2 linked regions of the Oryzias latipes genome follow. The protein of the gene in region 1 purifies or fractionates together with the protein of each later gene. This does not show direct contact. Links are inferred from orthologs where the notes say so. Each region holds a gene or a part of one and is shown on either strand. Other genes may lie near its edges.

The links.
Region 2: the proteins of xpo6 (region 1) and zmat2 purify together in Homo sapiens (co-immunoprecipitation; 3 studies listed by BioGRID and IntAct, with this or other methods). This does not show direct contact. The link is inferred for Oryzias latipes from reciprocal best matches to the Homo sapiens genes XPO6 and ZMAT2.

The regions. Positions count from the first base shown.
Region 1 is NC_019866.2:14,396,569-14,405,019, forward strand, and holds the start of xpo6 (exportin-6), read left to right. Parts: upstream 1-4,290; 5' UTR 4,291-5,049; coding exon 5,050-5,052; intron 5,053-5,783; coding exon 5,784-5,874; intron 5,875-6,872; coding exon 6,873-6,985; intron 6,986-7,303; coding exon 7,304-7,501; intron 7,502-8,451. Other genes in the region: protein FAM173A, read left to right, coding at 635-775, 1,332-1,382, 2,088-2,270. UniProt on the Homo sapiens protein: Mediates the nuclear export of actin and profilin-actin complexes in somatic cells.
Region 2 is NC_019872.2:3,285,314-3,293,680, reverse strand, and holds zmat2 (zinc finger matrin-type protein 2), read left to right. Parts: upstream 1-2,823; 5' UTR 2,824-2,894; coding exon 2,895-2,912; intron 2,913-4,300; coding exon 4,301-4,400; intron 4,401-4,485; coding exon 4,486-4,609; intron 4,610-4,734; coding exon 4,735-4,808; intron 4,809-6,482; coding exon 6,483-6,628; intron 6,629-6,800; coding exon 6,801-6,944; 3' UTR 6,945-7,390; downstream 7,391-8,367. UniProt on the Homo sapiens protein: Involved in pre-mRNA splicing as a component of the spliceosome.

The sequences.
Region 1 (8,451 bases):
AATTACTAGCGTTTCCCGCATCATGTTTTTGTGCTCAGCATATGTTTTACAGCCTATTTTTCATTGTCATTTCCCATCAGTAAGAGAGTGGGAGGTGTGAAAGGCGTGGGGGGCTAGGTACGGGGAGGGGGGCCCTATTATTTATTTATTTATTTATTAATGCTTGCTTGTTTTTATATTTTGTTGTTTTAATGTAAAGCACTTTGTGTTATATTTTTATATGAAAAGTGCTTTATAAATAAAGTTTGATTTGATTTGATTTGATAGAAAGCCAGGGTTGAATCTTTAGAATCCAGTAGGTGAGGAGGGAAGGTGAAAACTGGAGCTGGTTTTGCTGAAGAACTGTTAGAATTAAGAATTAGAGTTTTTCACAAAAAAATTCTAAATTAATTTTGAAATCACCTGAGCTGGTGCCAGTTAGAATGGGATAGTTGACAAAAAAAGAAGATGCTCCAATACAGAGCCTTGGAGAACGCCTGAAACAAAGGGAGAAGCCAGAAACCTGAAGATTTTGAGCTAGATAAACTAAAAGGGAAAAGTGTGGAAGCCCATGTCAAAAGCTGCACTTAGATCAAGAATGATGATGTTGATACATATTCATATCCTGTACTGATTACCACTGTAACCCTTTTAGGTCCTAGAAGCTCATAGGCATGGGTTCAACCCAGCTGTTGGTTATGAGCTCAACCCCTGGCTCATTTCTTTAGCCCGTATTCATGCTTGGAGATTGGGTTATCATGGAAAAGTAGCTTACTTGCGAGAAGATCTTTGGAAGGTTTGACCTTTTTTTAGATTTATTTTTCATAATTACATCAGAATCTAAGACTTCCTATACATTATAAGCAATTAATAATGTGAACTCCTGATATCTGGGTTCCAAAATATGCCTTATTCACTGGGAAAAGGAGAAACAAAACAAAATATTGGTTGTTATATTGTAAGCTCCTGATCTAAACCGTCTTTAGAGAAGTAATTTGGCCAGGTTTGGCTGATATAGACCAATTTGTTTGTATTTGTAAACGACTTCAAATGTCTTTTCATTTTAATTCTTAATTTTCTGGTCATCTGTATTTATAGTGACCACACGTCATGCAGACAACCAGGTCAGTCAGTCTGTAAGAGAAAATAGTGGAAAGCAAACAAAATATGACACTAAACATGTAATAAAAATGGTAAAGTTCAAAAACAAAAATATGCAAAGATTAAATGAAAAGAAATTCGTTTTTTAATGAGTATATTTGCATTAGAGTTCCTTCACTAGTCTGTTACACACAGCTAATAAATTGTAACAATTCTGGTGTATTTATACCCTGATTTGTATTTACTTACAGGTGGACTTGACAAAATGCAAGAATATTACAGTTTTTTTGGCTCCAAGTGTGGTGAGTTTCATAAAAACTGTGAAATCATAAAAATGTTCTATATCCTCCCTTTTTTCTTTACTTGTTCTGTCCAAAAACTGAGCAAACAGATGAGAGCTGAAGGCCTTTTGTGTTGGACAGGTGTTTATTTTTACAATAACGGGTTATATATCTTCGCATAACCCCTTTTCTTTTTTATAATGTTTTATTTGGGGGGGGGGGTTCTTGTGTGCACGGCAGCCTGCTTTTTCTGAGCCAAGAAAATAAAATGATCCTTATTATTATTGAGCATTGTTTCATTTTATTTATTCTTTAAATTTTAGTTCTGGTTACGTATTTCGCCATGTTGCTTTAATTAAAAGGTGAGTTTGGGACATAGCAGTATTTTATGCCTAAATATGTAAATCTTTAAAACAGACAGAGGATATAGTACTTTCTTTTTTGGCCGTCATTAAAAACTGGAATGACGTGTTGCATTTTTTCTGGCTTATACAGAAAAATATTGCTTATAGTTTCAATTTAACAGTTAACAAATGATTTGTAAATGATACAGGTGATGTAGGATTGAATGTTGGCCATCTGTTATCATTTATGTGTGACTAATTAGAAGATGTTTATATTTCATTGTGAAACTATGTCAGTTATTATTAGTGTTGTTTTTTTGGTAACTTCATTCATTCTTATGCATCTTAAGGGCTTATTGTTTTGTGATTTTCTGCTTTCTAGCTTTCATTGTTGCAGGAGAAGCTGCATGCAGAGCTTCCTGATGGCGCCTTGGTGGTAGCTGGTCGTTTCCCTTTCCCAGACTGGGAACCCTGCAGAATTGAAGGACATGGAGTTGACAGAGCATGGGCATACAACATGCAAGCTCAAAAACAAAGACTTTTAGGAAAAGTCAGCAATATTTAGACACAGTACAATGAGTTATTCATTGAGGGGTGACATATATACACAACCTTTACCTGGCTGGAGTTGGAATTGAAGTAACTTTCACCTTAACCCATATATGGTGACATCAGTGAAACTGACAAAAATCAGAAAGGACCACTTGGTTTGTGGTAAAATACACATCATTTTATTTTTAAGAAAAAAGGGGTCTGTGTTCTCATTGGTTAAGGTGATCAAATAAATTTTTAAACTATGAAGTATCCTTTTATCATAGTTTTGAAAGGCTATCATTTTAAAATGCAAACTATTTTTTAAATTAGGAATTGTTTAAATGCCCAAAATTGATCAAATAAAATACAATTTCTGCTGCCTATATTGCCTTAGGGAAAATACACACAATCGATGTTTTTAAAAATGTTTTCTCATACCATTTGTTTGAGCGGCCAGTTAAAGAGTTAAAAAATTATTTCAGGGATTGCTAAAAAGATTATATAAAATATAAGTAGCCAACATTTGTGTTTATAAAATGCTAAATCGTAAAATCTTTACTATATTTATTTGAGGTTTTATTTTTAAGGTGGACATGTGTAAAGTAGTTCTGAGTTATTTGTATTTAGATTTATATATTAAAGGAATTTATGATAATAAAAAAACTAAGTTAAAGCCATTTAGAGCCAACTGTCTACAACTCAAAACATTGCATAGCAACCCAACCTCACATTGATTCAAACTGTTGCGAAATGTCTGGTCTAACTGGGTTGCCTTCTGGTTTTTGGTCTAAGCTGACACTATGTTAGTTTTTTGTTTTGTTTTGTTTGTTCATTAAAATGGATTTGATTCTGACAGTACTCATTTGTCTCTTCTTCTTGTAAAAACTGTTTTTTTAAACCGATCTCATGTCACGATGAATAGGAAAAGATATGCCTGCATTTGTTGAAATATTCTGCTTTAGTAGTTAACCAGAGCAGCCTAAGTATGAAGTAACATACAAAACTGAGGGACAGCGGTATTGCTGACTTGTTTGCACAGCATTTGTTTTACCACTGTAACAGTTGCCTCCTTGCACATCTGTCAGTCCCTAATGACCATACCAATGCTCAAAAAAGATCATGAGGTTTCGGGTTAATTTGGGGCTGACTGTATGCAGCTAGGATGTAAAATGGGTTACCCCTCTTGCCATTGCAGTAAAATAAGGAAGGCAGAATGATGTGTTTTTACACAACACAGTGAGGCAGAGTAACAAAGAAACAAGCTGCATCAACATGAGTTTTAGCTGCTTTTAGTATCTTTAACACAAAACTGAAAGCTATTTAAAGACTTTTGTCTTTATTGTTTGAATTTACTGATAGAATTCTTTGAACTAATTTATTTGTAAATTCTTTGCATTACTTTGCGTTAAATTAATTTAAACAGGCTTTAGTATTCAGTGTTTTGCATAAAAGGGTTAAGAGAAGTTTAGGCTTCATGGTTTTCTTATGGGTATATCTGTCTTTTTACCTCACTTTTTACATGTGTGCTAATATTTTTAAATATTCTCAAAGATGATAAAGGTTCACGTATTAATAACAGTGTACTTTGCTATTGTTTTGATTCAGCTTTCCTTGCGTGATATAAATAGACCTCCATGGATATTGAATACTTGTTGACAGTATTCACTTCCTTTTTTAGACTTTCAAAATATTAGATCTGTGCATGAATGGACAATATTTTTTTAAAGGTCAAAATTGCTTAATTCGTTTCCAATCACGTAAATAATAATAATTATTATTATCATTATTGTCATTGTAGCATAAATAAGTTATGTATTTTTTAATTTACTATAAAGAGGAGAAGTGTTTACTCTGGTCCCGTGCTAAGGCCATTTCCGTCAATTGTTTTCATCACTTCCATACTTTTGACATCTTATTTGGCTTTTTAAAAGAAAGCTATTCAATTATTATATTAATTTCTAAACAACACTGGCTCAGAAGTGTAGTTTTTTTTAATTTATTTTTTTTTTTCAGCACATGACGTGACGTTCCAGCAGGGGGTTGGATTATGTCATAAGAGGAAGTTGCGAAGCAGACCCTAACCTGCAGCTAGCCACCGACTTGAGCCGCCCTAAAGCTGTGAAAAGAAGAAAAACAGGAACAAACGCGTGGAGTATAATTTGTCGTTTCTATAGTACTTTTTAGCTTTTAACCATGGCAGTGTATATGTACCCGCTTTTAACTTAAAACGCTGAAGACGCATTCTCGTGACCAACAGCCACAGACAGTCATGCCTACAGTTGCCACCTAGCTAACGAAAGTATACGTTCCTTCTAGAAAGGCTAGCTTGTTAGCTAGACAGTCGCTGCGGCGCTAGCAACTGGATAATTTAGCTTTGAAATGGCTGACACTGAACGCTGAATAATGATGCACAATTTACCCGGTGCAAGAGTCTGTTTTGGTTTGATTTTTCACAATTGCACGTCCATGTAGACTAGAAGGTAGCTGTTAATGAATTCGGCGATAAATGGCAACGTTTCTGCTAACATATCAAATTGAGATTGATGGTTTAGTCTATTTTATTATCCGGTAAGTGAAGAAGCGTTTTTTTTAATAAAAAGGAAATTGATATTTTAAATTAACGACGATACTCAACATTTCTGAGGCTAACACAGTAGCAGACCAGTATGAACAGACTTTGCGGTTTCGTTAGCCAGGAAAACATTAGCTAACGTTAGCTGCAAAATTGGCTTGCAGCGTACCTAATGTTGGCTTAAAGGAAATTAATCAGCACCTACGTAACTCGAAGAAAGCGTCTGATTCAACTGATCATGGTATGTATAATTTATATAATAAAAACCTGCTTTATTGCGTTAATTTCTGTCTTCCAGATTGCTTTGATCTCAACTTCTGGTTTGATTTTCACATTTCGATCTTGAAAACCTAATAAAAGTAAGCACATTTGGGTGCAGCTTCTGGTGATACCATGTGGACCTTGATGTTTCATGTCATAACGGTTTAAGACTAGGTATTTGCCTGGAATGCCACAGGCCAATGTGCTGTGTCATACAAAGCCAAACCTCTTTGAGTGGTGGAGAGCCTTGGCAAGTTGTGTCTTATTTAAGGAATTTGGATCTGCCTTCGCTTCACAAGCCCACGTCTCAGTTTGGCAAGACTAGGCCCAATTTCCTACATGCTACAAATAATTAGCCTGATCGCAGCTTTAAACTGTTGAACTTTTACTCTGTAGTTTTGGTAAACAGTTCCCAAAAACATCAATTACACAGTGGCAACAATGGAAGATGAGATGTGCAAGTGTGGACATGTTGAGAATCCAGCTCACTGCATGTCTTCCTAAAGCCAAGAGGGTATTTATGATTTAAAAAAATGAAGATTGTTGTGCACAAAATGCTTTAAAAAAAAAAAAAAAAAAAGCGAGGCTTGCTTGCATTAGAGTTATCCGATCTTACATTATATTGTAGTGATCTGTTTTTCATGTATAATTTTGTCAACTGATGTGCAGCATTGAACCTGTACTCCAAAATGTTCTTTTATTCTCAATTAGTCTTCGGAGGAAGGATCACTGCGCGCTTTAGAGAACCTGATGACAGAGTTCTTTCACAGCTGCACAACTAATGAGCGGAAAAGAGAAATCGGTAAGTGCACTTTTAAAATAAAATCCCATTTATACACACCAGAAGCAACAGCATGATTCAATGCTTTCTCTCTCTCTTTTTTTTTCTTTCTGTTAAAATGCTTAAGAGGACGTTTAAATGTAAAAATAGGCAGCCATCTAAATAAGCTCACAGTCAGTGTCTATGATAAACATTGCTTTGAGGCTGAAATTAAAGGTGGGCCAAAAGATCATGTGAGAGTCTTATGGGCCGGTTCACAACCTAACACTGCTCTCTCCTTACAGAGCGATCGGCCCATGTGAATTTGTGATAAGTTGTGCTCAAGGCTGCATGAATACTAAAAACAGTAGACGGTCAGCAAAGGAGTTTTAGGCAGAAAACATAAATTAATCTGAATCAGGATGATTGTTTGCTGCACACATATCGTGATGGTATTTACTAAAACGTAGCTGCTGCTTTTACATTCAGCACTTAAAAAAAGTCGTTTAGTGTACTGACATATCTTTTTACAGTTATTAATCAGATATGCAATTGAAAAAAGCCAAAATAAGTATAATTATGATTATTTATTTTGAATAAACACGGCACATTTGAAATAAAACGCCCTCTCTCAGATATGAGGCCAGTTTTGTGTCACTTCCTCCTCATTTCCTGCAAGTTCTTCCCACTGTGTTTGATAAATGAAGGTAAAATGCCACACTTGGAATATTGCCTTTTCATCATATTGTAAATTTTATTCAATAAAGCCTTATATTCCAGTCATAATTGTCGGTGCTAAATGGGTGAAGTGACTCATTTCCCCTTTAATTTGGAGATATTGAAGCTCGAATATCGCACATTTTTACAGGAATGCTTAATTTGGTGCATTTTGGTGATCTTTTGTTCATTATATATTTTTAATAATAACATTTTATGTCCACTTCCCGCGTTGTGATACTCTGCTTTCACTTTGTTCCAGCTGAGTCTACCATGTCGTGCATGTCTGTCTAAGATCGTATCTGCCTTCTTTTTTTCTGCAGAAGAGTTGCTAAATAACTTTGCACAACAGGCTGGAGCGTGGCGCCACTGCTTGTTCTTTCTCTCCAGTACTCGAAATGAGTATGTAATGATGTACAGCCTCACAGTATTTGAGGTAGGTTTCGAGGATCGCAGGTTTAAGAACAAAGTCCTTGTATGCACAGAGATCACAGGAAGTGCTGTGTTAGATGTTTGGTGTGCGTTTCCGCTCTTTCTTTTACCTCTTTTTCTCTCCTTAAGCAAGTTGGTTCTTTAACCATTATTGCAACCACGTTTGCAGTGGAAAATGCAACAAAAATGTGTTTTAAAGACTCTGCCTTCTACTGACTGCTCATTTTTTAATAAATACATTATTATTACAACAAAGAACTGAAAAAAACGTAACTGTTGTATACAGATCTGTTTAAAAACGTGTTTTTTGTTTCTATTTTAGAATCTGGTGAACAAAATGTGGATTGGTTTAGCCTCTCAAGATAAGATGGAGATCCGCAGCTGTCTGCCCAAACTTCTGCTTGCCCAACACAAAAATGTGCCCTATTTTATCCGTAACAAACTGTGCAAAGTCATTGTGGACATTGGTCGCCAGGACTGGCCAATGTTCTACCATGATTTCTTTTCGAACACGCTTCAGGTAAGCCCTGCTGATGTCTTTTCTGCTTTTCAGAAGTTTTCAGAAAGCTTCAATGAGATCTTCCCAGCCCTGGTGCTTAAGATCTGCCACATCGACTATTTCCTTTTTGCTTTTGGTGCTTATTAACTAACTTAGGTGTTTCTAAACTCTGACTGATCACGCCTGATTCAGGTCATCGGCAGCGGGAATAGCAGGGTGGTAGATCTAAAGGACCACGGCTGGAAACCTTTATTAAAATGGTAAATGATATGTTGGTTATTGCTGGATTACTTAAGTACTAATAAGTGGTTGTTTTATGCTACGGAGGGAATTTTTTTCTTTTTCTTCTCCTATTTGCTAGAACAATTCCACCTCCTACAATTGGAAGAGGTTTGGAGCAAAATGTCAAAGCTGTGCAAATCTTGTAAATCTTGCTGCAGGCTTTTCTTTCACAGCTCTATTCCGATAAGAAAGACTTTGTGCCGTATAATTCCAGCCGGGCACAAACCGGAATGATTAATTTCTCCTCCATGTTCAATTTACAAACGGTTTGCACTTCCAAATCTGAGTCCCCGAATGGTCATCTTTCAACGAATGTTTTGTACATAGAGCCTGAAAACAGGTGTAGAAACTTGCGTAGTGACGTTTGAACGAGAGAGTTTTGAACGTGAAAGCCCCAAACATGCATATATGTGCATTTACATAGACTTTTCGTTTAAAACGGGCAGTGTGAACATAGCTGTAGACCTGTGGGTTTTCAAACCACTGCCTCTAATGTAAAAAAAAACAAGGATAAGGGGATATAGGGCTTAGAAATTATCCTCAGTGACCCTTTGTGAGTTTACAAATTGTGTTCTTTCTAAAGTTTTCTATCTTTGATTTTTCTTTTGGTCAGTGTGACGATGCATTAGAGTCGTTTTGTATGTTTTGGTGATCTATCAATGGGTATTTTAAGGAAATTCAATACACAA
Region 2 (8,367 bases), on another chromosome or scaffold:
GGACAAATGAAGAGAGTCTGGACCCAAACATCTGCTGAACGCTGCCCTTTTTATTGATGACTGCAGCAGGATCTGTACATATCAAACAAAAAATGAAGAAAAGTCGCTTACATGCAGTTCCCTGCTCAAACACATGGGGTCGCAGTATCCTGTTGAGCGGAAAACGAGAAACCTGTCCACACATGTCTTCTACCAAGTGTAACCCTTGTTACACTAACTTGAAATTAATTTATAAAGTATTGGAAAAATTGGCTCCAGATCCTCTGGCAGAGATGGATCACCAAAAAAAAAAAAAAAAACGATTCCAGGCCTCAGCAGCATGTCTGTGTTTCACCCACGAAAACAAACATCCAAATATTTGCAAAGATGGATGTGCAAATTGTGCATACAAAATAAACGCATTTAGCCGATCACCGCTAGCTCCACGGAGAGAGTGGAGTTTGTGCTAGTCTGGCTGGGGGAGGTGCTGGCAGCACAGACTCTTCCTGGAAGGGGCTGTTCCTCACTTTGTGACATCACAATGGGAGAACTCTCTTGTTTTTGTGGGTTTGGAGGGGCTGGTGCTCAGAGAGCAGGTTTTTAAAGGAACACCCAGAAACGGGTAAATGGATCCAAATATTCCTTTGGGGTTGTTCATTATGAATGATGAACGTTATAATACAATTATACCATCGTCCGGGTGAATACCCGATTCTGATTGGCTGCTGGGTGTGCGGTAAAAAGCGATGCAGTCGCCGCACCATGTAACAAATAGTCCGCTTTTTGTGATAAAAGCAATCCTCTTGCTTTATTTTGATAAGCGCTTCGCGTCGGATGGTTCAGGCTTCACGGCGTGTGTTAAAAAGTGCTAATGCACACTTCGTCGGCCATTAACCCTTAGTTAAAAGATCACAGAGTTGCTTTTGCATGATATAAGCCCTTTAAAAGTACACTTGGAAGTAGATTGTGCAGTCAGATTGAGAAGTCAAATTGTACTAATTCCACAGAGTGGTTGTGGAATCACTACGCACAGAGTGCACCTAGTGCGTTCACCATTTTGTAAAGCTGTTCAAATTTCAAAATCAAGTGGTTTAGAAATTATTTGCGAAAGATTAGTGTGTATTGATGCTCGCTACTAGATTGGCGTGTGTAGACCACAATGCAATTGAACAATTTTTGAGAGCAAAAATGTATTTTATTGTTTTGTATGAACACTCAATGATTTCATCATCAGAGCACAGTGGATTCATAAATAGTCTTCATGCATTGCTCATATTGATTAGATTTTAACTTTGGGAAATCAGTGATGTCATATTCGCAGTTTTAAAATAATGAAGTCAGCAAGGTGTCCTAATTGCTTTTAAAATCCGGGACATTGGATAGTCCCACACTTATAGTTTTATTAGTAGTTAGGGATTAGGGTGGGAATTCGGACATAGCCAGTGAATTGTCTGAACTCAATGAGTTATATCGCTAGAGGAGACACGCCCGCTTGGGAAGCCTGGCCGACGGTGGCGGAACGCAACGCCATCTTGGTGAGGTCAACGACGCCTACATGACAATGATTTCTTTAGCCTTTGGTAGCATCTAAGTAGCTTTTATATAATTTATATTTATTCAAATTTCTATATATTTATACATATAAATAAACACATGATAAATGTATATAATTTTTATATATATACATCATTTGATGCTTTTAAATAAGAGAAACAGTCAGCTTTAAAAGTTCAAACTTTAATGAAAAATGCATTGTTTTTAATTTTTAAACATTTCCAAGTTTTAGACCTCTTTGACATGTAATTGAAATTATTTAGAAAAGCCCAACAATAAGTCAATAATAATAATAAATAATAACAATATATAAATAATAAGTCAATAATAATAATAAATAACAAATATAAATAATAAGTCAATAATAATAATAATTAATAACAATATATAAATAAGTCAATAATAATAATAATAATAATAATAATAATAATAATAATAATAATAATAATAATAATAATAATAATGAATCAATAAATAATAATAATAATAAATCAATAGTAAGTCAATAATAATATTGAATGATAAAAATAAATCAATAATAGGTAAATAATAATAAATGATAATAATAAATCAATAATAAGTCAACAAAAAGTCCAAAAGTCAACAACAGATTTTCCCCTTTAAAAAAACAAAGAAAAGAAATAGATTTACCTCCTGATTCATGTTAGTGATAAATTTGTGTGACACAGTTGGTTTAGTGTCGGGTTTCAAGCTAACAGTCTGGCCAGTCTCATCAAAATCTGTTTCCTCAAATTGTTTTGAACATAGCCAGACTGTATTACTAGTTGGTACCACAGTGATCCATCTGGGTTAGCTCTTTTTATTGCTAAGGCCCACTTTTTCCTTAAGTCTGAATCCATTGGAAACCTGCAATAAAATTTCAGTCACTGAGTCAGAAATGTATAAATCTCTATTACTATAATAGCCTAGTATAATGTATACAGGTTTAACACAATAAAGTTTACATTTATATCGACAGCAAATTATACGTACATCATGCCTACATGTTGATAATCGCCCTGCAGCATCATGCATGAAAACATGTGTATGATTAATGATGCCCCTGCAGCATTAAAAGAAAAAAATATATAATACTTACCTGTGAAATGTTATGCCTTCCTCCTTCGTGGACTCATTTCTCTGATTTTGGCAGTTGAAACCCGAAAAATGAACTGGTATTTTGCAAGAAATGTGTTCACATGCATGCACTACAGCAGTAATTTGACCTCACCAAGATGGCGATGCTCTCCCCCCTTGAGGAATCACGTGATGTCTCCTCTACCGATAGAACTAAATTTAGACAGGAAACTAGCAATGACGAGCTGCAACATCCGGTGACGTATTTTCCGTAGGTAAACAAGATGGCGTCCGGCAGTGGGGTGAGTTTCCAAGCAGAATTTCTCTGCCCCTGTTTGTTGTAATACAGTTTAATTCAATAAACAAGATTAAAATTCTTCACTTTATATTTGGTACCGTGGAGGCGTTTTGACTGTAACCGTTACAGACATCAGCTGCTGCCGTTAGAAGCGCGGCCTCGGACTAGCAGCGGCTAACTCGCTCTGACGCTTGGGTACTTTATTTGCAGAATTTTACGGCCCTTTTTAAAAAAAAAAAAAATTAGTACCAAAAACGTTTTGACTCAACCGCCGTTAGTTTTTATCTTTAAAGGACTAATTCAAAGGTGTAACGAATTCCGGTGTGGCAAAATAAAAGCTCTTGAAGTTTATTTCGTAAAGCCGACTGTGATGATAATAAATGAAACTGTAATAATAAGGATAATGTCCTTTTTGGTTTTTGCAAATATGAAACAATGTTTCTGTTGCTATATTATAAAATTTATAAACCCACCCCTGTTGAAAATGTTTACTTTGATAATATGAATGAAAGGGAAGAGCTGTCGATCAATACAGACCATGAATTTCTGCTTTTTTTTTTTTTTTTTGGATGCTGGTGTGCCGCGGGATCTTTTTCAGGGTTAAAGTGTGCCGTGGCTCAAAAAAGGTTGAAAAACACTGGTCTAGAGTGACTTAGGGTTTCCTGTCCTGTAAGCACAGCTCCACCAGCAGGCGTATCCCCCTGGAGCCTGACGGCACCATGCATTTGGAGAGCTGATCAGTTTCAGGCTGCAGCTGCAGCCAGGATCAGGCTGTTGAACGGAGATTTCTGAAAAATCTAATGTTCATTATGAAGGATCTCTTTGGACTCATCTGTTTATCCAACATGGATGCTTCCCGTCAGCTGGATGTTCGGCCTGAGCCCTCCCCTTATCTCGGGTCACGGAGTAGGAACAGCCCTTTTCCCAAACACCATTAAATACGAGCAGCAGCATGGCTCACGCATAAATCATGGGTCACACGTTCCCCATGATTTGTGCGTTCATCCATACCTCTCTGAGCTTTTGGAATCTCGGTTAAGCTCATATCTTTCCCTGGAGGGACAGAGATCCAGGAGGAACCTCTGGGAAGAGCCAGCTCCTCCTGTTTGAGCTTGGAAGGTGCACAAGGCGTCAGCTCTGACAGTCCAACAGGCATCTTCACCGTCTGCATTTAAACATTCTTCTGACGAAGCATGAGGCTTTCCTGCTTTTGTTCCTTCTCTGTTGTTGTGTCTCTGTGGTTCTGTTTTAGAGTTTTATCAATGAAGTTGAGTTGAGAAGCTGTTGCTCTTTTGTCAGGAGGAGTAAAAGCTCCTCGTCTTCATCAGCTGAATGTTTGTTGAGATGTGAAGATAATCGAGGCGCTCTGAGTCATCTTCTCGTGTCTTCCAGTCCAGCAAGAACGACTTCCGGCGGAAATGGGACAAGGACGAGTACGAGAATCTCGCTCAGAAGCGGCTGAACGAGGAGCGCGAGCGGGAGCTCAGGGATGGTGAGGGCAGCGCTCTCCGTTCTTTGGGGACCCTTGGGGGTCAATCGCTTATCACCCCTGACGCATGACCTGTTGGCTCTTTCAGGAAAACCTGTCCCTCCCGTCAAGCGGGAGCTCCTGCGGCACAGAGACTACAAAGTGGATCTGGAGTCCAAACTGGGGAAAACTATTGTCATCACCAAGACCACCCCTCAGGCGGAGATGGGCGGGTGAGTTCCTGACGGCTTTGGGTTTGGAAAAATGGAAAACTGAAACTCTTTGAACCAATAAGAAAAAGTTGTGGAGCAGAAACGGACAGGTCTGGGTTCTGGTTCCGACATATTTTTTTTTTCAGATATTACTGCAATGTTTGTGACTGTGTGGTCAAAGACTCCATCAACTTTCTGGATCACATCAACGGCAAGAAACGTAAGTACACCTGTGCTTTAGGGAGGGGCCAAGAGCGCAGATGTAACGTGGATCATTTTATACAGTCAGGTCCATAAATAATGGGACAGCGACACAATTCCAACATGTTTGACTCTATATGCCACCAAAATGGATTTGAAATAAAACGAACAAGATGTGCTTTAACTGCAGACTGTCAGCTTTAATTTGTGGGTATTTCCATCCAGATCAGGTGAACTGTGTAGGAATTACAACAGTTTGCATCTGTGCCTCCCACTTGTTAAGGAACCAAAAGTAATGGTCAGAACAATAATCATAAATCAGACATTTACTTTTTAATACTTGGTTGCAAATCCTTTGCAGTCAATTCCAGCATGAAGTCTGGAACTCACAGACATCTCCAGACGCTGGGTTTCATCCCTGGTGATGCTCTGCCAGGCCTCCAATGCATCGGTCTTCAGTTCCTGCTTGTTGTTGGGGCATTTTACCTTCAGTTTTGTCTTCAGCAAGTGAAACATTGCATAACATTCCACTTCTTTCCCTTAAGAAGGCCTTTAGTTGCGGTTGCAGTTTGCTTTGGGTCATGGTCCATCTGCACTGTGAAGCGCCGTCCACTGAAGCATTTGGCTGATCATGAGCCCAAAAGCCTTCAGAATTCATCCTACTGCTTTTGTCAGCGTTCACATCATCAATAGATAGAAGAGAACAGTTCCATTAGCAGGCATACATGCCCACGCCATGACAATACCACCACCATGCTTCACTGATGAGGTGGTATGCTTAGGATCATGAGCAGTTCCTTTCCTTCTCCATACTCTGGTAGAGGTTGATCTTAGTCTCATCTGTCCATAGGACGTTTTTCCAGAGCTGTGAAGACTGTTTTAGATGTCGTTTGGCAAACTCTAATCTGGCCCTCCTGTTTTTGAGGCTCACTAATGGTTTACATCTTGTGGTAAACCCTCTGAACTCACTCTGGTGAAGTCTTCTCTTGATTGTCGACTTCTACACACATGCACACCTTACCTCCTGGAGAGTGTTCTTGATCTGGCCGACTGTTGTGAAGGGAGTTCTCTTCACCAGGAACACAATTCTTCGGTCATCCACCACACATGTTTTCTGTGGTCTTCCGGGCTGTTTGGCATGCTGAGCTCCCCAGTGCGTTCCTTCTTTTTAAGAATGTTCCAAACAGTCGTTGTGGCCACGCCTCATATTTTTACTATCTCTCTGATGGTTATTTTTGTTTTTTCAGCCTAATGACTGCTTCTTCACTGATAATAACAACTCTTTGGATCTCATCTTGAGAGTTGACGGCAACAGATTGCAAATGCATACAGCACACTTCAAAAGCTCTGGACCTTTTATCTGCTCTTTGTAGTTGGGATAGTGAGGGAATAACACACACCTGTCCCTGGAACAGCTGAGAAGCCGATTGGCCCATTGCTTTTGGTTCCTTAACAAGTGGGAGGCACAGATGCAAACTGTTGTAATTCCTACACAGTTCACCTGATCTGGATGGAAATACCCACAAATTAAAGCTGACAGTCTGCAGTTAAAGCACATCTTGTTAGTTTCATTTCAAATCCATTTTGGTGGCATATAGAGTCAAACATGTTGGAATTGTGTCGCTGTCCTGTTGTTTATGGACCTGACTGTATGTCCATGAATGTGTGTTGATAAATGTGTGTGTGTGTTCAGATCAGAGGAACCTGGGCATGTCCATGCGGGTGGAGCGCTCGTCTCTGGATCAGGTGAAGAAACGCTTTGAGGTGAACAGGAAGAAGATGGAGGAGAAGCAGAAGGAGTACGACTTTGAGGAGCGCATGAAGGAGCTGCGGGAAGAGGTGAGCGCCCCCTGCTGGTCAGCTCCCAGAGTCCTGTGAAATTTGGAAAAGGCTGCTCTGTTGATTCTTCTGCTTTTTCCAGCGCTCCTACTTTCATTCTTTTCTTTCAGTGTCTTCAGTGTTTTATAATCTGGTGAAGTCATGAATAAAAACTGGTTCCTGGTCTCCTCAGGAGGAGAAGGCGAAGGCCTACAGGAAAGAGAAGCAGAAAGAGAGGAAGCGGCGTGCTGAGGAGGACTTGGACCTGGAGGACGATGATGAGATGGCAGCAGTGATGGGCTTCTCGGGGTTTGGCTCGTCCAAGAAGAGCCACTGAAGCCCCAAACTGGGACAGGAAACCGTTTTCAGCCATGCCCCCCTCTCTAGGGCGGGGCTGCTGATGCGGGCTCCTCCCTCACAGACTTTTTTTATTTGAGATTGCTCTCAAACCTCTTCTGGTGAGCTGGTAAACACCATCACAAATATTAACAGATGAATGAATGATCTGAATGCAGGAAGACAAATGAAGGAGAAACTGTTTCCTTTAGCACGACTGTGGTGTGTTCAGGTGCACACAGAAAACTATACATTTTTGTTTCTTCATTCAAGTTTTTTCTCTGAATTAGATCCTGATCTTAGAAAAAGAAAGAACTGGAGGAAATGTTGGTTTAATTTTTAATAAATACACCTTTTTTTTTTATTCCTGATGTTTTCCTGAAATTGATGTAAAAATGTTCCACAAAGAAGCTGAGGCTTCAAACCGATAAAAGGTGCTCTTCTGTGTTCCTTTGTCATTTTGTTATGGCAAAAAGGGGAAAGTAATCTGAAATGAATTTAGGAATCACAATAAAACACTTCTCCTGGGTTCAGCCAAGCTTTCCACCTGAACACGATGAATCGGTGGCAGGTTGGCATGTGAAGAAAGATGTCTGTGGCGGCGTTCACTTCTTCTTTCTAATGTGGCTGAAACTGCGTTTGATCAACAGGAAGAAGAAGAGGAAGTCTGCTGCATTTCCTGTGTTTCACTCATTAATGACCAACAACGCCGCTACGTCTTATCGGTCCTCGTCACGGTGCGGCTTTTGAAAAAAGACTCAGACTATTTAGACATTAGTTCATAAGAATTCAAACCAAAGAGACTCCTTTTTTAAGCATGTGCAGCCAGTTCTGCTCCAAAAAGCAGGTTATGTGACAAACCTCCGTCTATTTGAAGGTAGTTTAGATCAATGACCGGTACCCGTCTGTGGAGCGCTTGGTACCTGGCCACAGAGGAAAAAACACAACCTGCTTTTTATCTGATTCTGATGGAAGTTTTGTCTTGGGAAACTACTGGTTTCTCCCCGCCACATCCGACAGCATCCGACTCATTCCTGAAATGTTAAGACGTTGAAAATCCATCCATTACTTACTCAAAGCGGCTGCACGGACCACTACATTGAAACCTCCAAACTAGCAAAGTTAACAAACGACTTTGAAAAGTTTCTTTTGCAGGAAAGATCCAGAGAGAAAACAGAAGAGTCTCTGACTTCAAAATAAAAGAAAGCTGCATCCAACAGACTGAAACCAGCAGTCTTTACTTCAAATATGGATTTATAGTGATGCACTGTCATAATAGTTTAAAAATGTGACAGGATGCAGAGGTACAGCTGCTTTTACGTAGTTTATACACAACTATTACGTAAATCTTACTCAATTGTGCAAATTTTTTTTTCCTGCAAATGCAAATTTGTTGTTTTTGTACAACAGACTTTTCATGCATG